Linked DNA regions of Bombyx mori. The protein of the gene in region 3 purifies or fractionates together with the protein of the main gene of each other region. This does not show direct contact. Links are inferred from orthologs where the notes say so. Each region holds a gene or a part of one and is shown on either strand. Other genes may lie near its edges.

Region 1 (6,211 bases), on a different chromosome or scaffold from region 3:
AAGTTAGACCATATAACATACACCTTTTATTAAAAATATACTGAGAAATTGATGTTATAAGTATGGTTTCTGAGAAGCACACATTAAACACCAAGTTTATAAAAATCAAATTTATATTCAAGTAACTAGTATTTTTACTGTTTATGCATTTAAATGAGAATGCCCAATCCAATGACTACAAGATTTCAGATGCTTTTATAGAAATATAACAGTAAAGTAACATATGGGATTGTTACTAGTAAACATACTAAACCAAACAGAATATCGTCTTACAATTCAGTCATACTTCTTAGCAGTCCAACTTCTGAAATGAAAACTGGAAAAATAGCTGAGCAAAAATATATCTTTTAAATATTGTCTCAATGAACTTGGTGAATAATGTTTTATTTCATAATTTGAGTGTTTAAAAATGAAGTAATTAGAACATGTATCTGTATATTGTATCCATAATACTGGTCTGCATGTCTCAAGAAATTGCTGCAATAATTTTGTCTTCAAGCATTGTTCTAAGATTTTCAAGGTATCAAGGTTAAAACATTATGGTAAAGAAAAGGACGCAACTCTTGGACTGAGGTCACTTATAAGTGAACCTAGGTGTGAAACAATCTACGTGCGACATACAGTGTGTCCCTTGCCTGCCTGTGTACTAAATGCTGTCCTTATTGTTTTAGTGGCGGAGGCAGGGGGGGTGGTTTTAACAAAGGTAAAGCACCTCGCATTATGCGAGCGATGCTGTTGTCATATTATTAATTTGTATTTATCTAAGGGGCTGCCAAACATGGTATTCTACTGGTTAACTGGCTCTATAATATAAGTAGGTTTTATCTTATTATATGGTTCAATAAAGAAAAGTTGATCAGGTGTGAAAAACGTCAGCTTGGAAATGTGTATTACGAATTACTAAATAGATTGTAAGGTAAATAATATTTTAGGTAAAATGTGCTATATGTGTTTCACAATAATATCAAGAGTTTATTGAGGATTGTGCTTATATAAGGGAACTTACAGTATATGACAACCTCAAATATGAATATGTAGTGACATATGCTAGCAAGTAATAAAATGAATGATAACTACACAAAACATTTATTTTATCTCTAAGGAGACACCACTATTTATTGTAAGAGGCATAATCTTCAACAGAGTTATAATATTGTGACTGATGATAATTAGGTAGTATGGTTACTTGATTAAAGTGTATTTGACCAGTAATAATGCATATTGTTTTGGCAGCCCTAAAGTTATGGTATAAAGTCATGCAAAGGTTTTGTCATCGACAAAGAAAAATAATATTTTTTAATATTTGTCTATGTTAAGAAGGTATTTAGGACACGTAATTCTAGTGTGTCCAAAGGTAATATTACAAGCGCGAATCCAAATATCATCTATTTTAAGAGGTGAATTGTACATTTTAGAATGACAAGCTAAATAACTTATTCAATTAGATAATTTTAGACTTCATTATTTAAAATTAAATAAATTATGTTGTTTATTTATACAGCAACTAGAATTGTTTATTTACAAGCTATTTATTCCCCCATAATTGAATAAAATTTTCCTTCAGGAGGCGGCGGAAGCGGTGGATATGCCGACCGTGGTGGCGGTGGTGGTGGTGGCGGTGATATGGTAACTCAAGAAGATACTGTCTTCGTTCAGGGAATGAATCCATCTACTACTGAAGAGGAGCTGTGCCAACATTTTGGAGCTATTGGTATAATCAAGGTAATTGAATGGTAAAATATAAATTTGGAAAAATGTTTCATTTTCCTTCTTTTTTGGATGTATGTAAACTATGCTAAATCAAGCATAACATAATTTTGCCGCAAAACGCCCCAATATTGAAAAGAGAAATAATATTTAGAATTTCATATGTACTGAGTTTTTTCAATTTTAATGAACTGGTTTTAGCAGCCTGCCATTAGTAGATGATACATTAAATATATGTTATACATAGCACATCTTCCTTATCTCTCTTACCGCTTTCTTTTCCTCCAAACCAAATGTTATGGTTTGTTTAGTAGTAATACAATTAGCCTTGGCTCAATTCCTCAAAATAGGAATTTGGGAGTTATGGAAAAAATATAATTATTCTGCTACTGTGGATGACGTAGAAACGCCGATTTTTTTCCCCTGCCTAATCGTTGGTAACCTAAGCCGCTATTCCAACTTTGCGCGGACCAGTAGATGAGCTCACGGATTGAACCTAAGAAATTTTGCTTAAACCAGCTCTAGCAAAAGCAGTGCTTCGCCGGATCGACATCGCGACCCACCGAGAAGATCATGGTACCAGGACGACCGAGTAAGGACGCGGCTCGGTCGTGTACTTAAACGTTGAATTGGTGGCTGTAACTTAAGAAAAACTGTTTCGATTATCTGAACTATGAAATGATATCTTCGACTATGTATTGACTACACGCAGCTTAAAATTTAGCCTCAGAAACTAATAATTAATTAATATTTGTTCAATTTTCGCTACTCTTAATATCTCTAGGAAACCTAAGAGCGACTTTATAGTTTTAGACCAAAATTAATTAAGTAAAATCAATTTTAATTTTAGACTGATAAAAAAACACAACGGCCGAAAGTATGGATGTACAAAGACAAATCTACTGGCCAACCTAAAGGAGAAGCGACTGTAACTTACGAAGATTCCAATGCAGCTTCTTCTGCAATTCAATGGTTCGACGGCAAAGACTTTAATGGAGCAACTATTAAAGTTTCACTTGCCCAACGACAAAATACTTGGGGAGGTGGCAAAGGAGGCGGTGGTGGCTTCAGAGGAGGACGAGGTGGAGGCGGCGGGGGAGGAGGTCGCGGTGGTGGTGGAGGCAGAGGGGGTGGATCTCAAGGTTCTAACAACCGTGATGGAGACTGGAGATGTCCAAACCCCAATTGTGGAAACACCAACTTTTCTTGGAGGAAGAATTGTAATAGATGTAATGAAGAGAAACCCGGCGGCGGTGGCGGTGGAGGTGCTCCAGGCGGAGGGCGAGGCGGCGGTCCTCCAAGCCGTGGAGGCCGTGGCGGCGGTGGCGGGAGAGGTGGAGGAGGAGGAGGTGGCTGGGGTGGCCGCGGGAGTGATCGAGGAGGTGGTGGACGCGGCGGTAGCAGAGACGGTGATCGTCGCAGTTATGGAAGCAGTGGCGGTGGTGGAGGAAGGGACGGTGACCGCGGTAATGGTGGGGGCGCTATGAGAGGAGACGGCGGGTAAGTTTTACAGTATCATCATCATCTAATTTTTATGCGTTTTCCAATCACCAACCCCTAGTTTTTTATGATTTTTAAATAAAAATATGCTCAAATTAAGGTTTAGGTTTTAAATAGGAAGAAGTTGTTAAGACTATCAGAATAGAAGAGATAAGAATTTATTAAGAAATACCCACCTAAATAGTACATTATGTGCTAAACAAAACTTATTTACTAGACACTACATAAACAGTCTGAAATTTAAATAAAGACATTAATAATTAAAATTTGGCAACTGGACATACTATGTCCACACACTAATTATCAAGCGAGATATATATAGATAGATTGCCTTAGAAACAAAAAAATGTGAATGACATCATAAAATAAACATATACAAATTGATAAATGATTTCAAATATATTGTTTCAGCAGCAGAGACCGACAACGACCTTACTAAATATAATTTTAAGATTTAATCATAATGTTAATACTTCCTTCTGACTGAGATCTAAGTTTGTAAAAACGTTCAATCTAAACTTTCCATCATATTACAGTGTATATAAGATATCTTGAACACTTTAGATGCATTTCAGACATGTATGCTTCTTACTGAATTAGAATTTACTTGAATTAAAAATGTAATCTTTCATTAATAACTAGAAATACTAACAATTGATGCTTTTCACCCATTTTTTAAATTAACTATTGTACAATAGATTTTTTTTTAGTTTTTAGTGTGCTAAATATAAAATCTATATATTTATAGAGATCGAGATTTATTTCTAATGTTGTCAATAACATGTCTCGCTTATCAAAGCAAAGGGAATCAAAGTGATAGCCTCGTTATGATTGGTTAAAATATTGTACAAGTGTGTAGAGAATTAAAATTAAAAAAATTAGAATGGAGATTTCTTAATATTCATTTATTAATAGGTGTAAAAACAAAATTATAAAATTTTTAGGTTTTTTGTTTTTTTTTTTATTAATTGCAGAAACAGTAATTTTATGTGTAAGTGAAATGTACTTTTAGTAGTATTCCTGCTGCAAGTTAAGGTTTTTTCAGTTACATATTATTTTGGTCAGATATCTAGGATTTTTAATAAATAAACTTATTATATATATAGTACATGGACTCATTAACAACCCTGTCTCGGTCTCTATTTTAATAGAATTATAAACGTGTTGTATTTCTAATAACTGAAATGTAAATAGGATTAAGTTATGCATTTTACTACAACCCTTGGTATAGAAAAACCTCTCAATAAAAACATTTTGTAACTATCTCAAGTTTTTTATTAAATGCAGAAAGGCACTTTATGTGAGTATGGAGAATGACAATGAATATAACAAGTGTATTAGGTGTTATAAATAAAATACAATTAAAAGTTAAGAAATTTATTTAAAAAAATATACTTAATATTAAAAATGATGTGTCGCCGTCGTTATTATCATTTTCTAATAGTGCTACCCCTTGGATTAAATTTATGGTAGCACCTGAGCTGGTGGAAGGAGTTGGCTCCTCATCGTTGACATAACGAAGAGTCGCTGTCGTCACTGGCGTAAATAATAAAACGCTCAGTGACTGAATCGACTATATGGTCATTGGTATAATTTGGTCCTGGCATTGCAAACAAATTTAAAAGAATAACACTCGTAACAAAAACTAAATTTAAAACAAATTTTTTTTTATTGCCTAGATGTGTGGACGAGCTCACAGCCCACCTGGTGTTAAGTGGTTACTGGAACCCATAGACATCTACAACGTAAATGCGCCACACACCTTGAGATAGAAGTTCTAAGGTCTCAGTATAGTTACAACGGCTGCCCCATCCTTCAAACCGAAGCGCATTACTGCTTCACGGCAGAAATAGGCGGGGCGGTGGTACCTACCCGTGCGGACTCACAAGAGGTCCTACCACCAGTAATTACGCAAATTATAATTTTGCGGGTTTGATTTTTATTACACGATGTTATTCCTTCACCGTGGAAGTCAATCGTGAACAATTATGAAGTACGTATTTCATTAGAAAAATTGGTACCCGCCTGCGGGATTCGAACACCGTTGCATCGCTACGAATGCACCGGACGTCTTATCCCTTAGGCCACGACGACTTCAACAATTCAAAAATAATAACAACTCGTAACAAAAACTCAATATAAACAAAGGGTTCGTACAATTTAGTAGGCGCATGTGTAATCAGGAGCGAACGGAACATGGACGCGGTGCGGGAGGGGAGGGTCGACTGACTCACCAATCGCGCGCTTGGAACGGTGCTACGTCTTTCCCCGCGTCCCGCTTGACAACCAAAGAGACCTAAAAAACGACTTCTGCGCATCTGACGATTCTTGCCAAGTTACGTGCCGGGTACTATATCTCTTGTAACTTATTATTTCCGATTGCGTTTTGACAACGCCTGCGATGTTGATAATCCAATTTGTCATATTCTGATCACAAAGTTCTGAGATTAAGTGTTCACATGTGGACAAAGCGATGGAGAATTGTTAAATCTAAATCGGAAGGCCTCATCATTAGGTGATAAGAAGACTGCATTGATATTCATAGTTATTTCCTGACATTGGCGAAGTTTATACGAATGAAATATAGGAAGAAAACTTTAATAATACTTTTAATTTAATACTTTTCTTTACATGCCATAATTTATTGATAAGTTTTTAGTCAATTGAAAGATTGAGCAAGAGCGAACCGGTGACAGTGAAAATGCAGACAGTTCGCCGGTCTAGCTGGCTATTTAATGACTTAATGTCTGACTACCCTCGGACAGGGCCTGCGCCCATTGCGTCTCATTTCTGAATCTAAATCCGGGACGACAAAATTTATCGCCGATCGATAGGATATTTTCCCAAGGTGAAGCTAACGCGTTTGAGGTCTAACCGGAGAATGGTGACGGAATCAGTGTCACTAAAAAAACAGCGTTTTTTTCGATTTGTGGAAAGAAATCCCTACGCCGAGACGCGCGCTTGGCTGTGGGACTACCGAAGCCACGCACTAAACGATACCCTT
Region 2 (6,550 bases), on a different chromosome or scaffold from region 3:
GTACCGGGCGCCCCCGCACCCGCCACCTGATAGTCCCTACGGGGGCTGAGCGGGAGCTTCACGCCCGCGCCGGCCATCCCGCCTTCTGCGCTGAGGTGCTGAAGAGGGATCCCACTCCCTTTCACGCTCCTCAGCGTCACGGGACGCCATTACCAGGTCACAAAACCTGGCCATGGCCTCCCAATGCCCGAAGCCCTAAGTCTTCATTTAACACCCTTTTCACCGTGGTTCTGCTTAACCCCATCTGAAGGGCCAACAGTTTCTACTTACGTTTGGGATTTCTTTGAATTCGCGCCTTCACAGCTTTTATCACTGCTGGAGTCCTAACAGACCGAGGGCGACCACTTCTTGACCTGTCATCTACACTAGAGTCTTCATTGTATCGTTTGATGGTACGATAAACGAATCTTTTGGTTATATTCAAATTTTTCAGTATGTTAAAAATTTGAATTGGCGCGTAACCGCAACGATGCAACGCAATAACTGCAACACGGTCTTCTTTAAGCGTCCACTCCATATTTAAAAATGAGTAAAATTCTAAAAGTATACATTTTTATTTTCATGAACAAATCGAAATTCGAATTCAATAAACTTTTTTGTGGCCAGCATTCTAAAATAAAAGTTTTTACTGTGTGACAATACTTATGACCTGACTAGGTATTTATAAAATTTCGCCTGCATATTTACTTTCTAATTCTGTTGCAGAATTATGCAGTTAATAATTATGAGGTTTCAAAGAAGTTCATGCATATGTATTCAATGCATATTTATTTATAAAACATGAAACAAATCAGAACATTTGAACCTCAACCCCAGTCATAGTTGCATAATTTGATATGAATAGACGCGATGTCTTGCCCCATCAGCCTGTTATTTACTAATACATGAGTAATGTTTACATTCGAACTGTTTTTCACAACTTTAGCAAATAATAATCTAAAACTCACCTTTCCATCCCATCCCAGTGGCAAATTCTTAGGATTATATGGCACTTCATCATCATCTGAATCAAGGTCTGGTGCTGCAGAAGCATCACTTTCGTCACCGCTTTCGTCGCGACGTTCACCAGCAGCTCTTGCAGCACGACGCGTTACATTTTCAATAGTTGATGCTCGTGTACTACTTATTATAGTCGCGAACCTATGGAATTCAATCAAAATAACACCTTCTTATGTTAGTTTCTTTTTAGGGCAAAGAAAGCCTACACTTAATGTATTATCCTGTCTTGTATACACATTAAGCTTTTCCTCATGGCTAACCAAATCAATATCAATTGCATTTGTATCCTACTCTACTATTAGTCCTAGTATCCTATTTACATGCCTAGAGTTAGAGATAAACCTTCTAGTACTGTTCTGGTACAACTTTTCATTATATTAGCTCTACCGTTGCTCCACTCCAGCCTCGCTTGCACAAAGAAGTTGCTTTCTAAATCTATCAGTTTTCACTCTGCAGTCTAAAAACTATATTCCTTGCATGTTGCTTAGATGTTTTAGTTAGTAAATTATAAAATTAGTAACCAACACTATTTTGAATATTGATTTGGATATTGATTCTTTATTGTTTGGTAATTGAATAATATATTCTACAATAATCTACTTACCTATAAACCTGTGCTTCAATTGCAGCAATGTCTTTTTGTCTTTGTTGTGTGGTAGCCTTTGCCTTATTTCCCTTTTTCGCAACAAGAGACTTGTCAAGGGCTGTTTGACCTTTAGTGCTAAACAACCTAGAATAAAAAAAATATTAAATGTTTTTTTATAGTATTGATAAGAGGACGAGCTCAAAGCCGACCTGCTGTGAAGTAGTTACCGGAGCCCATAGACATCTATAACGTAAATACGGCCACCCACCTTGAGATATGAGTTTTAAGGTCTCAGTATAGTTACAATGTTGTAAACTTACGAAAAAAAAGCTAATATAATACTCACCTCTGTGCTCTTTCTTCCAAAGTTCCACCACATTTTAAGCCGAGAGCCATAAGAGCTGATTTTAATCTGTCCAGGCCAAGAGACGCCAACTCTTCCCATGATGAAAAAGCCGACAGATCTAAATGCGCCCCCACATTTGTTAAAGCTCCACCAGTTTCTTTCTACAAGAATTTAAATGTCAATGTTACCAGTACTAATCATTTTCTAAATTTATTTTCAAAATTTAATTTCAATTCAATATATAATAATACTAAACAAAATTATTTTCATAAAATGAAGTACACAATTATATTTTTATAATTTCATACTTACAGGCCATCCTGGAAATGTACCAGACTCCCATTGTTTTAAAAACTCCTGATGCCCTAGAGCCATTTCTTGAGCCTGATCCAAAAGAGGTTTAACTCTGGACACAAAATCTTTCATATAAGTGAGCAATGCACGAATGTAATTCCTGTATTCACTATTCTTCCTTTCACGAGGTATGTCAAAGAGATGATCAAATATGCTCAAGTATGTAATATAATCTACTTTCTGTAACAAAAATACTAGTCTTTTTGGTTTGGTCTTAAAATCCTACAATCAACATGCTGGCTTTTAAATGACTATATATGACTATATATAAATATGTTCCAAATAAACTATATGAACATTCACATTGTACTGTATAATTTATATAACTTTTATTATATAAAACAATGAAATACTTGCCTCAATACCTTTCAAGTTAATGTACTTTTCATAACACGAATGTAGGTCCAAATACTTTCCATAGCCTTCTTCATCAGTGAACTCGACAGGAACTGAAAATTTATAATTATTTTTTTCTAATACAATTAATAATAAAATAACATAACTTCTGTTGAAAACAACAATGATGACAATATGTACAAAAAATATTTAATATTTCCAACAAATACCTGTGTAATCCTCAGCAGGATTTTCCCTTTGATTTGCCAACTCTTCAAATTCTACAGACATGGGTACAGATATCTACAACAGAATACATCATGCATATGAAATAAATTTTAAATATATTGGGTACTGATGAAGGTGTTTATGAAAAATGTTAGGGTGCTAATCTGACCCATAAAATTTAAATAGATCCTTAACCTGTCTTACTCATCGCTTTTACATTCATGTATTTATTTTCTGGATCCCAATCAAGTGTCACTCCTCGAGACAGCTAGCAAAATTAAACAACTGGCTGCATTCTGGCAAGGGAGTCAGGATGCTTGTATCCCACACATCCCACATAAACATGAATTAAATCAAAATATAAAAAAATGGTTTATTAATCAAATTATTATGCAAAATTTATACAAGTAATAACTTTTCAGGTGTAAAAATTTCTACATCTACATAATAGATGCACTAAATCACAAGTATTTTCTATTATAATTATTGTAACTCACTTCATTTGGATGTTTTCTATGAAACTCTTTAATTTGCTTAAGTCTCGAATAGAACTCCTGGAACTCATGTGGACCTGACAATGCTGATATTTCTTCTTTTCGTAATCCATCTTTATCTTCATACAATTCTTTAAGTCTTATAGAGGCTTCAATATATCTCTAGAAACAATTAATATATGCTAAAAGACTAGTGGTTACACAAACTGTAAATTTAATTGTATATACATACATCATGTAAATTCTTCAAACGATGATCAGCATTTATAGTCTCCCGATGCTGAAGAAACATAACCATTATAATATATTTCAGCATAGTATGTAGTATATGCAAAAAAAAATTCAAATTCTATAACATACAGTGTACAATTATAAAACAACAAGTATTAATTAGGTTTACATCAAAAATAAATATATTCCATAGCAAATACTTTCATCATGAAGCAATTCTGATTTCCTATACATTAGAGAAAAAAATTACATTTCCTCAAGTCTAACATTAATTCCTACGATCATGAGCTCTGTTAGATATATAATATTTATTTTTGGCTTAGAGAAATAATGCATAATTATTAATTATGCATAATCAGTTACAAGTACCTAAGGAGAAAAAACGAAAAAAAGAGATGACGAAATAAAAGAGCGCTGGAAGATATATTTTGAAAAATTAATGAATGAGGAGAACGACTGGAATAGAGTGATTAATAGGAAGCCAGAGAACGTCGGATTTGTGAATGAGATTAGTATGTATGAAGTTAGAGAAGCAGTGAGAAGTATGAAAAGCGGAAAATCGGAAGGACCAGACGGTATACCAGTGGAAGTATGGAAGATACTGGGAGAAGACGGATATAAGTGGCTGACTTTATTCTTCAATAAGCTGCTGCAAGAAGAAGTGATCCCTACGGAATGGAGCATCAGTACGCTGGTGCCCATATACAAAAATAAAGGGGATGTGCAAGACTGTGGCAGCTATCGGGGAATAAAGCTTATGTCTCATAGTATGAAAGTTTGGGAGAAAGTGATAGAAAAGCGATTGCGAGATGAAAGTGAGATCACCCAAAACCAGTTCGGGTTCATGCCTGGTCGCGGGACAACGGACGCCATATTTGCACTACGCCAAGTGTGCGAAAAACATCGCGACGTGCACAGGAATCTGCATATGGTGTTCGTTGATCTAGAAAAAGCGTACGACCGAGTACCTAGAGTAGTTTTGTGGTGGGCATTGAATGAGAAAGGTATACCTGGTAAGTATGTGAGGTTAATCTGTGCCATGTACAGTCGAGCCAGGACGTATGTACGAACCGCCGCGGGGAATTCCGACGAGTTCAATGTGGCAGTGGGCTTACACCAAGGGTCTGCACTAAGTCCCTATCTCTTCCTGCTTGTGATGGATGCCTTGACATCGGAGATACAGGAAGAGCCCCCTTGGTGTATGCTGTTTGTCGATGACATAGTACTCGTCGGAGAAAACGGGCTCGAGGTCCAAAACATACTGGAGAAATGGCGATGCAAGTTGGAGAGTGTTGGCCTAAAAATCAGCAGATCGAAAACCGAACATCTGTTCTGTGATTTTGGCGGTCTCTCCAATTTTACACCCATTTCCCTCGACGGAACACCTTTGCCAGTATGTCAAGACTTCCGATACCTAGGGTCTGTTATCCAAAGCGACGGTGAACTGGATCGTACTGTGAGGCACAGAATTGACGCAGGATGGATGAAATGGCGGCAGGTCACGGGCACCATATGTGACTCGCACATCCCTCTTCCCCTAAAAGGGAAGATATATAAGACCTTAATAAGGCCTGCCGTCTTGTATGGATCAGCTTGTTGGACAACGAAAGTGGCGGATGAAAGGCGATTGCATGCAGCAGAGATGCGAATGTTGCGATGGATGTGTGGAGTAACGAGAATGGATAGAATACGGAATGAATATGTTAGAGGAAGTCTGAAAGTGGCACCTGTGACAGAGAAGCTGAGGAGTGCACGTTTGGGATGGTATGGACATGTGATGAGACGGAATGAAAATGAGGTTGTTAAGAGAGTGTTAACTATGAATGTGGAAGGATTTAGAGGAAGAGGTAGACCTAAGAAGAAATGGATGGATTGTGTGAAAGACGATATGGGTAGGAGGGGAGTGAGCGAAGAAATGGTATATGATAGAAGAGTATGGAAGGAGAAAACATGTTGCGCCGACCCCAGGTGACTGGGAGAAGGGCAGGATAATGATGATATGTAATTACATAATAATGCAATTTGTTGATTTAGAAAAAGCGTATGATAGGGTTCCCCGTGAGGTTTTGTGGTGGAGCATGAAAGTGAAAGGAGTGCCAGGGAAATACCAACGGCTTGTTCGAGCTATGTACGGTAGAGCTAGTACGTACGTACGCTCCGCAGCTGGCAATAGCGACGAGTTCAGTGTGGCGGTAGGCTTACACCAGGGATCAGCTTTAAGCCCTTACCTGTTCATCCTAATAATGGATGCCCTAACATCGGACATACAGGAAGAGGCGCCTTGGTGTATGCTGTTCGCCGACGACATTGTTCTCGTTGGAGAGGAAGGGCCTGAGATACAGAGGAGATTGGCAAAATGGAAAGAAAGGTTGGAAAACGTGGGTTTGAAGATCTGTCGAACAAAAACCAAGCACATGTTTTGTGATTTTGGTGGTTCTTCAGACTTCACGCCAATCGACTTCAAGTACCTCGGCTCTATACTCCAGAACGACGGCAACATAGACCGGGACGTCGCAAATCGAATAAACGCTGGTTGGATGAAATGGCGACAGGTCTCTGCAACAGCATGCGATCGTAGAATGCCCCTTCAGCTCAAGGGCAAAATTTACAAAACGATCATTAGACCTGTCGTGCTGTATGGATCTGAGTGTTGGGCGACGAAAGTTAAGCAAAGCATGAAAGAGGAGTGCATGCGGCAGAGATGCGAATGTTGAGATGGATGTGTGGAGTGACAAGAATGGATAAGATAAAGAATGAGTATATCAGAGGAAGTGTGAAAGTGGCCCCGGTAAACAACAAATTAAGGAGCGGACGGTTAGCGTGGTATGGACATGTGATGCGTAGAGAGAAGATGCATGTGACTAGGAGATGTATGGAAATGGTAGTGCAAGGTAGAGGGGGAAGAGGTCGACCAAAGAAGACATGGATGGAGTGTGTGAATGACGATATGAGAGAGAGAGGAGTGAGTGTTGAGAT
Region 3 (6,550 bases):
TCCAACCGAATATCTATGGAATGTTTAACGATGAAAGGAACATCTTCCACCGAGCTGGTGATATTGTTATTGCAGGCTTATCTTGAAAATGTTGTAAGCGAGAATCAGGTCTTTGTCAAATATCTTGTGTTGTATGATGACTATATACATATACATTATCATAATATCATTACCATTCGATAATCGCGGCGTATTACGAGACATATATTCCGCGGATAAAGAGCTTTTACTGCACATGTGTACTATATTCTTATTCTATACTTCCGTTAGAAGGTCGTGTGGTATTTACACAGTCAACGTAGGATAGATGGCGTGCGCGTCACGGCCCGCTTCCCTACTATACTAGAATTATTTTGTCCGTGCAGTTTGGGTCATAAGTAGTCGGAGCGGTGAAGCGAGTGTTTCGCTCTCTCTTCCACTCACGAGCCTTACGGACGGGCATAGTGATGTGCATTATTGTTATCGATAGTGTTTTTAGTTTTGCCATTTTGTGGGTTAGTGATAAAAATTAAAGAAAAAATCACTAATCAAACACACCACATATCGCCGCAGCAGTTAACGAGAACGGCAAAAATTAACACTTTGTAACTTTTCGGGATCTATTTTTATTTCAGTGAAAAATTTTAATACATTGTTGATAACAACACGTGCAAATATTATTTTGAATAAATTCTACAGTTTTGATACAAAACAAAGGAGTAGCCATTGTGTCACTAAAGAAATTCAAAGAGTGAATGCATAAAAACACATTTCTCTCTTCGACATAATGTTACTATACATTATGTCGAAGAGAACTTGCAGGTAAGTACAACAAATGACTCATAACGTAACATGTCTCACCACCCTTCGTATACCACCCCGCCGCCGTGTACCTGCCTTCGATGACTCATTTGTTTTTATCGATAATGGCGTTGCGCCCGCGAAACACGCTCTCCGCCCTAGCCGGGCTATGTTTTATGACCCAAACTGCACCGACAAAATAATTCTACTATAGTTACGAAATAAAAACACACTCAACGGATACTATGATGTGTACTTTATTCTAGAAGCCCTCCTGGTAGTGCTTGGAGTCGAGTCTGGCCTGCAGCAGCTCCAGCTGTCTCCGCGCCTCGCACTGCGGGAAGTTGCCCAGCTCGTAGTACTGGGGAGCGATCTTCAGCAGCCATTCCGCTGTTAACATAATCTATATATTGATACGTGACGCAAAAACTTTGTATCCCTTTTCACGAAAATTGCGCAGACAGAAGCAGTATGAAATTTTCCACACTTATAGAGAATACCGAGAAGGAGTGCAGAATGTTAATATTTTTTTTTAAATTATGCGTAAATAATACATACATTAAATCAATAAAAAAAACATTACACACACTACCATGTTTTTGAACACCATGACCCGTGTTATAGTCGAATCTCTACTACTGGGAAACCACTAGTTGTAGTAAAAACATTGAGTTTGAATAATGTAACAACTCACGCTTGATATCAGTGACAGTCCTAATGTAGTTCTTGGTGGTGAGCACGAACTCGTTGTATATGACCCAGTCGGGCTTGTGGTCCAGGCACGTGGAAGGGTGCAGCTGTACCACCTGGTTGTCCTTCACCGTCAGGTAGCTGCCCGTCCTCTCGAGGTGCGCCACCTGGAACACCCGACATACAACTGCTATTGATACAAACCAGCTTCATTAACTAATAAGCACAACCAAATGACTGAATTATCTCGATCATCATGATGTTATGTGTATAAGGAAGATTAGAAAAAAAATTCAAATATTATTTTAAATGTGTTAAGTAAGTACTGTTAGTAAATATTTTTCTATTCAAAAAATAACATTTTTTTTTGTTATTCACCAAGTGGCTAATCAGCAATAGGGCGATAGCAAATACTAACATAGATTATTATCATTAGTATATACAAGTATTGAGAATTAGATGAAATCATCTAATTCTCATACACACATGTGTATGAGGTTCAACAGGAAAGTGCTCAGAGCAATTGTTTTAGTGTTCTCCATTGTACTGTTACACCAGCTCTTTCTGAAGCACCCATAGTACCAAACAATGGTTTTAACCACTGTTAATCCATGGTGCATTTTCAAATTTCAGAGGTCAACTCTACAGTTCAGTAGAAAATAATAACTTGATACTATCATGTCACAGTCCGGTCGTAAATGACCACGACCACTAATCACCACCATCACCACATCTCACAGGGTGGGGTGTGTGAGCTTGCAAGTCACTATGTGTATGTTACTTATACCAAATGCCTCAACTGACAATACCTGCATGAAAAATCCATTTACAAGTGCCTTCCGTATGTTGATGTAATAATCTTTGCTTGTGAATTCTGTGCTTGTTCTTTTCAAATTAAATCTGTAAATAAAACAAGGATATAATAAGAATTGCAACAATTGCAAGCGACAAATGCTTCACGTGGTTTGTTTTTGCAAACATAAATTCTACCTGTCTACTCGATCAGAAGAATTTTATCACAATTTCATAGAAATTTTGTTTCATTATTTTGTTAAAAATGACTAAGTTATAGAGCTTTTAAATTTCATCATCATTCATCAGACTTCATCATTAAGGTATCAGAGAACATTCCTCAGACACATCTGTAGTGGCTTAAACGACAAAGGGAAGATCTTTCACCGAGCGGGTAACATTGCTCGGTAGACCGACGGTCTGAATGTTGTTGTTCGGAACTTGTATATATGCGAGCTTATCTTGAAAATGTCGTAAGCGAGATTTAGGCGTCTTTCGACTATCTTGTGTTGTATGATGGCTACCCACTACACATCATATGTAATTTTGAACTCTGATCAAGTCCCCTTGCTCTATTCACAAACAAACCTGTCCATAATCCTGCTAAGTTGCTGTCTGACGTTGTCGCCCGACTTTAGCGATCTGTAATTAATGAAGTTATCATAGCACCAGTGGGGATCCTCCATGTCTGAAAATGAAATATAATATTCTATAAATTTTTGTATACAGAAAATAATTGCATTATTTGGAAAAACGAAAAGCCACCAGTAGCTAAGTGGTTATTTTTTTATTTTATTTTTAATGCTTATATGGGTGGATGAATAAGAGCCAGTGCAAACAACTTGGTCCATGTTACATTCATATTGTGAAAAGGTGATTGTCCACCTGTCCATGTCAATAACGGTATATTGCCTCATCAAGACAAAGTAAGATACCTGGGAATGCACTTGGACCTCCGCCTAACATGGAAACACCACATCCAAACTAAAAGACAGGAACTAAACATCCGATACAAAAATCTCCATTGGCTGTTCGGACGTAACAGCAAGCTAAGTGTTGACAACAAACTTTTAATCTACAAAGTTATCCTTAAGCCAGTTTGGCTGTATGGACTCGAATTATGGAGTAGCGCCTTGAAGAAACGAAGTTACGGTAAACAGCTCAAGAGAAAAGATGTCATATAGTTCAATGATAAATCTTTGAATTTAGAGTAGATGGCTCGCTAATAAAAGTAATAAATCTAATAAAAGTACAGGATACTGATTGTAGATAATATAGGGGAATAAAAAATAAATAAAAATATGGGTGGACGAGCTCACAGCCCATCTGGTGTTATGTGGTTACCGGAGCCCATAGACATCTACAACCTAAATGCGCCACCCACCTGGAGATATAAGTTCTAAGGTCTCAAGTATAGTTACAACGGCTGCTCCACCCTTCAAACCGAAACGCATTACTGCTTCACCGCGGAAATAGGCAGGGTGGTGGTACCTACCCGTGCGGACTCACAAGAGGTCCGATCTCGATGTGGGTGACGCATTTACGTTGTAAATGTCTATGGGCTCCAGTAACCACTTAAAACCAGGTGGGCTGTGAGCTCGTCCACCCATCTAAGCAACAAAAAAAGCTATACTCACTCTGTTTGAAGGCGTGGTATACGTTCAGTAGCGTAAGATGGTCACCGTCGATGTGGGCAAAACGCATTTTAGCCTCGTCGGCAGCCTTCCGCGCCTCGTTTGGTCTCACGAAGCACTGCGGCACTGAAAATTATTAATATAATATTGTTACGCCCGTAAGAGTAACGCCATCTATCGCCGAATAGTCGAACGAATATTTGAAGGATCTAGTAGCACCTAGAACGCTCGAGAAGTACAACGCCATCTATTGTCAGATAGTACACACAATACTAGAGATGTGTGGAATATTCTCGATAATTCTAGGGATTTGGTATCGGCTATAAAAGCGTTGTAGAGATGGCACGCAGTCAGTCAGTAATCGGAATTACTCGAAGCGAGTTTTAAAGTGTTTGTTGAGTGTTTTAAGTGTTCTAAGTGTTGAATACAGTTTTTAGGTGTACATTGGTGGAATTTTATTTATCCTGAACCCCAGCGCGTAACAATATGAAGCTATGAAGGTAGTATGAACAGCAGCACAGAGCAGTGGGGATGTTTCCTTTGCTAATGTGGAGCCAGTCTACGGGTAGTCTCGCTGTCTCTTTCGCATGACGGTGACGTCATAAGCGTTCTTCGTTTAACAAAAACAATAGCTTGTGACTCCCATTGATGCATAGAACAAATGTCATCGTTAAAACTTCCTTCATTGGGTTTGAAACAGGCCCCTAGTTTTATGACAAATGTGGTGAGGAAGCGTCAGTGCTGGGAGGGGTCACTCAACTCCGCACTCTTCAACAATTTTTTGTCTCATGCTCCATCGATGAGCCATGTAACCATTACTTATACAATATCGTATCAAACAAATTATTTCTATGAGCTTATGGTGCATTCAGCTACATGATGCTTGTCTTATTTGCAATTGTAATCGCATCATCCTTATTCGATATATTGTAGTTTCAGCATTTTGACCTAGTTGCCCAGTATATTCTCCAAGTTAAAAGTCTGTAGATATTGAGGCTACCCCCAGTTCAGGAGTTGGACAATTTATTAAAATTAATTTCTATTAAAACAAACTAGTGAAGTGTGGCTTGTGATTTTTTCTTTAAATAAACAGACAGTATCGTATACCCAACAAGAAATCACTTAAAGCAAGTCAAATACTATCTGGGTTTTTTTTCCTACCTAAGCTGAGACCCTTGAGAGGCTATTTCAGTGTAACCTTAACTAGTAGGTGAGCTCACGGGGCTCAAACCTGACGTCGTTGCTAACACGAACCCTAGCAAGAGCCGTGCTTCGCAGAATCTACCACCGGATTGAAAACGCGACCCACTGAGAAGATCCGGCGAGAAACTCAGTGGGCTGTGTCTGTGGGTTAATTTACTCGTCGAGCCCTTCGTCGCAAGCGACGGGTTCGACGAGAACGATGACCACGCTATCTGTAAGCACAGATATGGAACATCCTACCTGACAGCATGGCAGTGATGGAGAGGATCTCGTTGGAACAGTTGTGATTGCAGCTGGCTATCAGCATCTTGGCCAGCTGTGGGTCGAGGGGGAACTCCGCCATCACAGCACCCAGGTCAGTGAGGTTACCGTCATCATCTGTGGAGAATCAAATGACAAATGAACATCATGAATAATAACCCATCTGTCTCGACTGGTGTTAGGTCGTCTTGTGAGCTCACGCGAGTAGATACCACGACCATGACTATTTCTGCCGTGAAGCAGTAATGTGTTCCGGTTCGAAGGCAGCCATTGTACTGTAAAACGTATACTCAGAACTCATGTCTCAATGTAGATGGCGAAATTTACGTTATTGATGGCTGAGGGCTCTGGTAGCCACTTAACATCAGGTGGGTGATAGACGCCCACAGATTTAAGCAAAAAAACTTAATTCATGGCAGGCCATGCAGAGCCTGCATAGGTCTGTCCTCACTGCATACATCTATAAATCCATTGAATGGTCAAAATTCCATTACATTTCTGTCTTTTGTTTTGTTATTGTCATTTCTTCATGAAGTAAGTAAGGCTAAGTATTTCCAACTTTTATTTATTACTAACAGTATCCTTACGAAAGCTTAAGAAAAACCACAAAAAGAATAGACAAATGGTATATTATGATTGTTTTGTCTTTGCCTTTTTTAGTGACGTTACAATTAGACATGCCACGAATATTCGGTAGTCGGCCTATTCGGCCACTTTGTTTGGTATTCGGTATTGGGCCAAATAATAGGTACTATTCGGCCCAATACCGAAAAATGAAGGGCAGGTCTCAAATCATGTTTCGTCAAAAAACTCGAATAATGATTTTTGTTTATTATTTTCATTACAAATCTCATAATATTCCCATATGGCCGATTTTTTATTAATTGGTGTCATTTTTTAATGAACAACAATTGAAAAAGAACTGACGATAAAAGTTTTCTACAAAATCGTAATGTTTCATTTATATTGATCTGACAAAGCGTGCCGTGACGTGATTTACTCGCAACTGAAACAGTCTAATGGCCGGACACCGCCCGCACACGATGGAGACAGGTCCCAACCGGTCATATTATTCTTTACGCGCTCGACTAACTAGCATGTACTTTGTGCCGAATATTCGGCGCTTCCGCCAACAGCGTTGCCGAATATTCGGTATTCGGCCAAATCACTATTCGTGGCAACTCTAGTTA
Region 4 (5,803 bases), on a different chromosome or scaffold from region 3:
TAACATCAGGTGGACAGTAAGCTCTTCCACCCATCTAAGCAATAAAAAAAGTAATTTTTATCCCAACTTCAACTGCTATATAAACTATTGTAGAATGTAGAAGGCTTTCTCAGCAAGACTTTTTCGATTCAAGATTCTTATTGTCTCTAACATAACGTGAATTAATATAATTTAAATATCTTAAATGAAATAATAATGAAGGTTAAATAAAAATTTGTGCTTAGCAACAATGTCTGCTTCGCTAACAATACCGCGCAACTCAAATTAAGTCAAGCTTTTTTAAATCCCTTCGCTTCAAACATTAGATATAGAAGGCATCTGCACAACGACCTATGTATACGAGCATCGACTATGCACGTCGACGTTAGCGCTGTGCGTCTTTACCATCAGCCCCGTGATATTCTTGTTTTTTAGGCATACATATGAGGTATGCTTAAAGATGGTAGGTACTTGTTCTATTTTCTTAATTATATATTTGAATTATTGATAATTGTTATTTGACAGTAATTACTCTAAAAACTTTTGTTGTATACATGCACACTTTCCGGTGTAGTGCTCCGCCGTTCAGTAGCCCTACTACGGGGAATTGGTGAACCATTAAGCCGCGTCATTCTTACGAAGCGCACTGCCACAGCGAGAGTTATAAGATACGCTATATTAGCTATTTATGAATAATCAATCACAAACATCTGACAAAATTCTCATAGGTATTCAGTTCTTTTTATTTGTGCTAAAAACGAAGGAAATTTGATTCGCGCAGTATTGGTCGCCAACACAGTATTATATCAACCTGATATTGCACAGGTCAACTGATTTGAAAGATAAACCTAATTTAAAGAGATAAAATTCTCACAGAAAACTAGGTGGTGTTGGCGATCTAGAGCGTTCCACACGGCGCGATCTTGGTGAGTCTCTGTGTCTTTCTCGTTCGCGGGAATTACTACGTGATTTTGATCTTGACCTCGACCGGGTACGTCTTCGTCCTGAGAATTAACAATAATAGAGAAACTCAACTTGGCATAATATAAAACGATCGAATTAAGTAGTTAAAATAGACTTAGTGAACTTTTGTATGGACACATTATTATTATTATTTATTGGACTGATAGAATAGAATAGAATAGAAAAAAGCTTGTTTACTGCTAAACATAAGCTTCTTCAAGAAACGCCAAGACCTCCTGTGCTGCCTACATCCAGACATTTTTGAGATCATCAGTGAGTTTTTGGGCCACATTGTGAAAAAAATACTTAAGCCTAATATATATTTTGAAACATTTTACACACATAGACAATATATGGTCACGTCCTTACGGATCCATCAGATCCAATAACCTTTGCATTAGATGCCTTCAGCTCTAATACTAGGGGCAGGCTTAGGGACCCCGGTAACCGTACTCGTCGAACTCGACAAAGAGGTCGACGTGCAACCTAACCCATGCATCAGCCCGCTGAGTTTCTCGCCGGATCTTCTCAGCGGGTCGCGATTCCGATCCGGTAGTAGATTCATTCGCGAAACAATTGCTCTTGAGTTGTTAGGTCTCCTTCGGAGGCGCTCGGGCAGTTGTTAGCAAATCCCACCCCTCTTGGCTGAGCCTTTGCTCGCCCACCTGTCCTGGTGAAACTGGAAAGGCCTTCGGGCCACCAGTAAACTTTCAATCATAAAAAAAAAAAAAACAATATATGGGTACTTTTCACAGGTTTATATTATACTTCACTTTATATTATACTATACTAGCTCAGGCAAGTCAACCCCGTTTATTCACACGCTTGTGTTTTTGTGAACGTTTGCCAAGGCTAGCATGCAAACGTAGTATTATTTGAAACATGTATTATCTATACATTAATATAGTATTATAAGAGACCAGCTGTAGCCGTCCGCTTCGCTGGGCTTTTAAAATTAACATTATTATTTCTCACCCCCACCAAGATTAACGCCCCCCCCCCCCCCCAACTGGTGTAGGGAGTCCAACACTCATATAAATATTAGTCTATGCATTAAGTACATGTATTTTCTACGTGAATACCAAGTTTCAAGTCAATTGGATGTATGGTTCAATAGTTATAACGGAACATCCGTAAAAACCATTGTAGATTTATATATTAGTATAGAAGTATAGATTATTCATGTACGAGATAAAATTAGAAATTGTCTACACTTAATTCAATAACCAGAATCGTCGGGTGTCATGAACAACTAAATCTCTACTACCTCATAATATTTGAATAAAAATTACCTTCTCTTGCACTTTCTCTCTCTCTTTTCCACATATTGTGTTTTCTTTTAGGTGACTGTGAACGTGATCGTGACTTCATTGGTATATTAGGTTCGGGTGTTTTACTCCGTGATCTAAAATAGACAACACAAAATTAATTGGATCAAGAGTTGGGGTTATAATTATTTTTCATATAAAATTAGTACACTTTCAATTGACACTATCTTTAATGTGTCTTGAGTATATATATTTTACCTGTATCTTCTTCCTGGTGGAGTAGGTTGTTTCTGTAAATCCTTAGGAATTGGACTGGGTGATTTCGATTTTTGTCTATAACCTTGCGCTATAGCGTCTTCTTTCATCTTTCTTGCTGAATTTTTTGCTTTGTAATACTCGTATAATCCTAATTTCTCCCACCCTTCACTGCAAATTTATTAAATATAACACATAATATTCTTCTTCAATATTTACCAACAGTGAGGTTATATCATGTTTTTATTGCCATTACTGGCAAACAACCATCATTATTCTGTGAAATCACTGTAACTATATCATCACCAGTCTTTACTGCGATGGACAGTTACTATACTATGCCTTAAATCCAGTGTATATTTAGATGCGAAATATAATTTTCTGAATTCAAAGGAATATATAATAGAATAAAAGCTATTTGAAAATGAGACTCACTTATCTCGTGGACGTTCATGATTTGGCGAGGCAAAGAATGCATCAACGGCTGCTAAAAGTCTATCATTTGGAGGTGCTGGTGGTGGTAAACGAATTCTGTCCGGGTCTAATGGTTTATAGTTGTCATCTTCCAACTAGAAGACAATGAAATTTAGCATGCAAATTAATTATTTACATGTATGATAAAGAAAGTATGAAAAAAAATATCCTTAAAGTAAGAACATAATTACCATAATAAGTGGAACCATTAAACCAGCGGGGAGTTCGAAGTATGGTACTGAAGGCATCAAATCTTCATTGTTAATTTCAGGAATTAATGGTGGAAAACCTGGTGGAGGTTTGCTAAGGTCAGGAAGACCATTTTGGAAAGCCTGCAGTGGTGCATTATCAAGAGGCTTGAAGCCTGGTGGTGGTACGGAGAAGTTTACATTTGGTAGATTAGATAAATCAGGATCTTCAATATTTTCTTTCTTTTGCTTTGCTATTTGTTCAAATATTTGGCTATCATAACTATTCTCATTTCCACTGATACTGTTGTTTGTTGGGTAATTATCCCCACTTTCACTACCATATTGCTGACTATTTGAGTTTGCATTAAAGTTTTGATCATAGCCACCCATCTGTGGATATCCTATATCACTGAAATTACTATTATGAAAATTTCCCATATTACTTTGCTGCTCATTTTCATTGTTTTCTTGAGTTTTTTGCATCTCAAGGGCATGTTTTTGCATTTCCAATTGTTGTATTTGTTGCATTGTGTGACCAACAAAAGCTTGGTGTTGTGATTGATAACTGCAATCAAATAGAATATATTAATTTTTTAGTTATATTGAACACTAATCTGTTTTATTCTTGCCATAATTTACTTCTCAAAAGTAGATTTAGTTTGCTGTGTCAGATGCGAAATAGCATTCGCATGCTGTGAGATTAAGGCGTTCTGATAATCTTGGTAGGAGCTGGTGGGACTCTTCATTTTTTCAATTACTGCTGTCTCGAAATAGTTAGACTTGGACTCCCAAAGACGAAGTAACTTGTTTAACTTAGCTTCCTGCTCCTCTGTCACCGCTGAAACAGCAGAATAATGAAAAAGTTGTCATATGGGTCAGCGTGATACTAAGCAAGTTACCTGACTGACGAGAGAACCACAGGTGGAGTTCTAAAGATGCTTTGAGCTGCAGATAAGAATTTGCATTCGACAATAAAGACAAACCTAAATCTCGAGGGCATTATTATAAATAAGTTACCTATACTGGCATTGCAAAACATTGGAACCACCACATTTTCCAAATTTTTCTTGAGATCTTCTGCGTTTTTGCGTGCACTGTAATTAGGAATAATAGTATCATAGACACCGAATTGACAATAAAAAAGGGACACAATACTTTATTAAAATATGTTTATGTTTTGCTTAATAGCATAGTACAAAAAAAAATACATTATCATTTAGTATTTGTTTTAATTATTACTAGATATATTTTATATCCTATTCAATATCCCACAAATAATGACAAATACACTTTACAATATTTAAACATAATCGTTTATTAAGCACAACCAATCAATAATTACCCAAACCATTCTAAATGTACACTTTAAATATCAAATTTGTTTTTGGTACTAACCAATGATGGAGTACATCATTTACAAGGTAAATGATGTGTAGTTTCTGAGTAAAAGCAGCACCAGTTTGAGTGACTTTTCTAAGCAGGTGTTGAGATATGACTTTGCCAGCATCATGGGATGTAGCATGTTGAAGTATCCAACCCTTTCCTAATGTTACATGTAAAAATAAAATACAGATTCAAAAATACAAAAAATAAAACTGTTTGTTCCCACAGTAGCAGTTAGCAGTATTTCGAGTATTTCTTGAGTTTGGGAACATGATGTTTGGTCAGTCTGAATAGACAAAAAAAAATTGCAAAATATTAGCTAAGATTTAAAAACGAAAATAATATAATTGTATATGGATTGATTAAATATTACATACAATATTCAAGAATGTAGAGTATACAGTTGAGTCATAAGTTATTCAGTTGAATTTAAAAAGTACCTGAAGAAATACTGTCCTTAGTGCAACTGTCTATTATTGGCTGTAGGATATTGTCAAGTTCACTAAGATTGATGTTGTTCTCATCAGCCATTATCTGTAAAGACTCCATCTGTGCCTTGCTGACAAGCTCATTGATCTTCACTTGCTGCTGTTGTATCAAAACCTAGAATGCATATTATTTAATTCATAGGAACTTATTGGGGTGTTTCATATGAAATATTGGAAAATAAACAATGTGTACAAATCTCAAAACTTAGTTTGAATTTCTAAATTCCAATAGTTACTGCATATATACGATCTATATAAATAATTAACTTATTTGTTTTCTTTAAACAAAATATCCAAATAGTGTCTCAATAAAATATATCAAGTTATTTCAGTGTACATTTCTTATTGCCTTAAATAGGTGAATGAACTGGCATTAAATGGTAACCATAATATAATAATATATCCTACCAGCCACCTTGATACATGAGGTAATAGCTATCACATCATTAAAACCAGAAACTCTTGCAGCAGAAATTAGTAGAAAGAGTATGGCTAATAATGACTAATAAAAATAATACTACTGGTAATTTTATGTTTATAATACAATGTTATTCCTTGACCATAGAGGTACTGTGTGAACATGTGGTATTTTTTGAAAAATGGTTTGATCCCAGCACAATCATCTCATTCAATATGAATGCACTTGGGCGTATTATCCATAAGGCTATGATAGCTTATTATGTTAATACCCCGCTTTTAATGTAGGTAATGCAAAAACAAAAATCTAATCTATGCCCAACTACTTTTGCATGAGTAGGTACTGTAGTCATAATAATAGTATACATAATAATGTAGTCTTAAT

What was found. The genes of interacting proteins can lie anywhere in the genome.
Region 1: the proteins of putative pre-mRNA-splicing factor ATP-dependent RNA helicase PRP1 (region 3) and RNA-binding protein cabeza purify together in Homo sapiens (affinity purification with mass spectrometry; 4 studies listed by BioGRID and IntAct, with this or other methods). This does not show direct contact. The link is inferred for Bombyx mori from reciprocal best matches to the Homo sapiens genes DHX15 and FUS.
Region 2: the proteins of putative pre-mRNA-splicing factor ATP-dependent RNA helicase PRP1 (region 3) and splicing factor 3A subunit 3 fractionate together in Homo sapiens (co-fractionation; 3 studies listed by BioGRID and IntAct, with this or other methods). This does not show direct contact. The link is inferred for Bombyx mori from reciprocal best matches to the Homo sapiens genes DHX15 and SF3A3.
Region 4: the proteins of putative pre-mRNA-splicing factor ATP-dependent RNA helicase PRP1 (region 3) and calcium homeostasis endoplasmic reticulum protein purify together in Homo sapiens (co-immunoprecipitation; 3 studies listed by BioGRID and IntAct, with this or other methods). This does not show direct contact. The link is inferred for Bombyx mori from reciprocal best matches to the Homo sapiens genes DHX15 and CHERP.

The regions. Positions count from the first base shown.
Region 1 is NC_085116.1:7,698,095-7,704,305, forward strand, and holds the end of RNA-binding protein cabeza, read left to right. Parts: intron 1-671; coding exon 672-703; intron 704-1,564; coding exon 1,565-1,722; intron 1,723-2,557; coding exon 2,558-3,207; intron 3,208-3,618; coding exon 3,619-3,646; 3' UTR 3,647-4,470; downstream 4,471-6,211. UniProt on the Homo sapiens protein: DNA/RNA-binding protein that plays a role in various cellular processes such as transcription regulation, RNA splicing, RNA transport, DNA repair and damage response. Binds to ssRNA containing the consensus sequence 5'-AGGUAA-3'.
Region 2 is NC_085112.1:8,793,088-8,799,637, forward strand, and holds part of splicing factor 3A subunit 3, read right to left. Parts: intron 3,624-6,550; coding exon 3,576-3,623; intron 3,506-3,575; coding exon 3,347-3,505; intron 2,925-3,346; coding exon 2,852-2,924; intron 2,735-2,851; coding exon 2,643-2,734; intron 2,466-2,642; coding exon 2,244-2,465; intron 2,093-2,243; coding exon 1,932-2,092; intron 1,730-1,931; coding exon 1,604-1,729; intron 1,141-1,603; coding exon 948-1,140; intron 1-947. UniProt on the Homo sapiens protein: Component of the 17S U2 SnRNP complex of the spliceosome, a large ribonucleoprotein complex that removes introns from transcribed pre-mRNAs.
Region 3 is NC_085130.1:9,707,625-9,714,174, reverse strand, and holds the end of putative pre-mRNA-splicing factor ATP-dependent RNA helicase PRP1, read right to left. Parts: intron 5,478-6,550; coding exon 5,340-5,477; intron 4,023-5,339; coding exon 3,900-4,022; intron 2,951-3,899; coding exon 2,851-2,950; intron 2,371-2,850; coding exon 2,280-2,370; intron 1,638-2,279; coding exon 1,475-1,637; intron 1,171-1,474; coding exon 1,043-1,170; 3' UTR 1,017-1,042; downstream 1-1,016.
Region 4 is NC_085128.1:5,796,067-5,801,869, reverse strand, and holds part of calcium homeostasis endoplasmic reticulum protein, read right to left. Parts: intron 5,117-5,803; coding exon 4,954-5,116; intron 4,674-4,953; coding exon 4,526-4,673; intron 4,225-4,525; coding exon 4,148-4,224; intron 3,969-4,147; coding exon 3,770-3,968; intron 3,696-3,769; coding exon 3,131-3,695; intron 3,035-3,130; coding exon 2,901-3,034; intron 2,637-2,900; coding exon 2,469-2,636; intron 2,348-2,468; coding exon 2,235-2,347; intron 984-2,234; coding exon 854-983; intron 1-853. UniProt on the Homo sapiens protein: Involved in calcium homeostasis, growth and proliferation.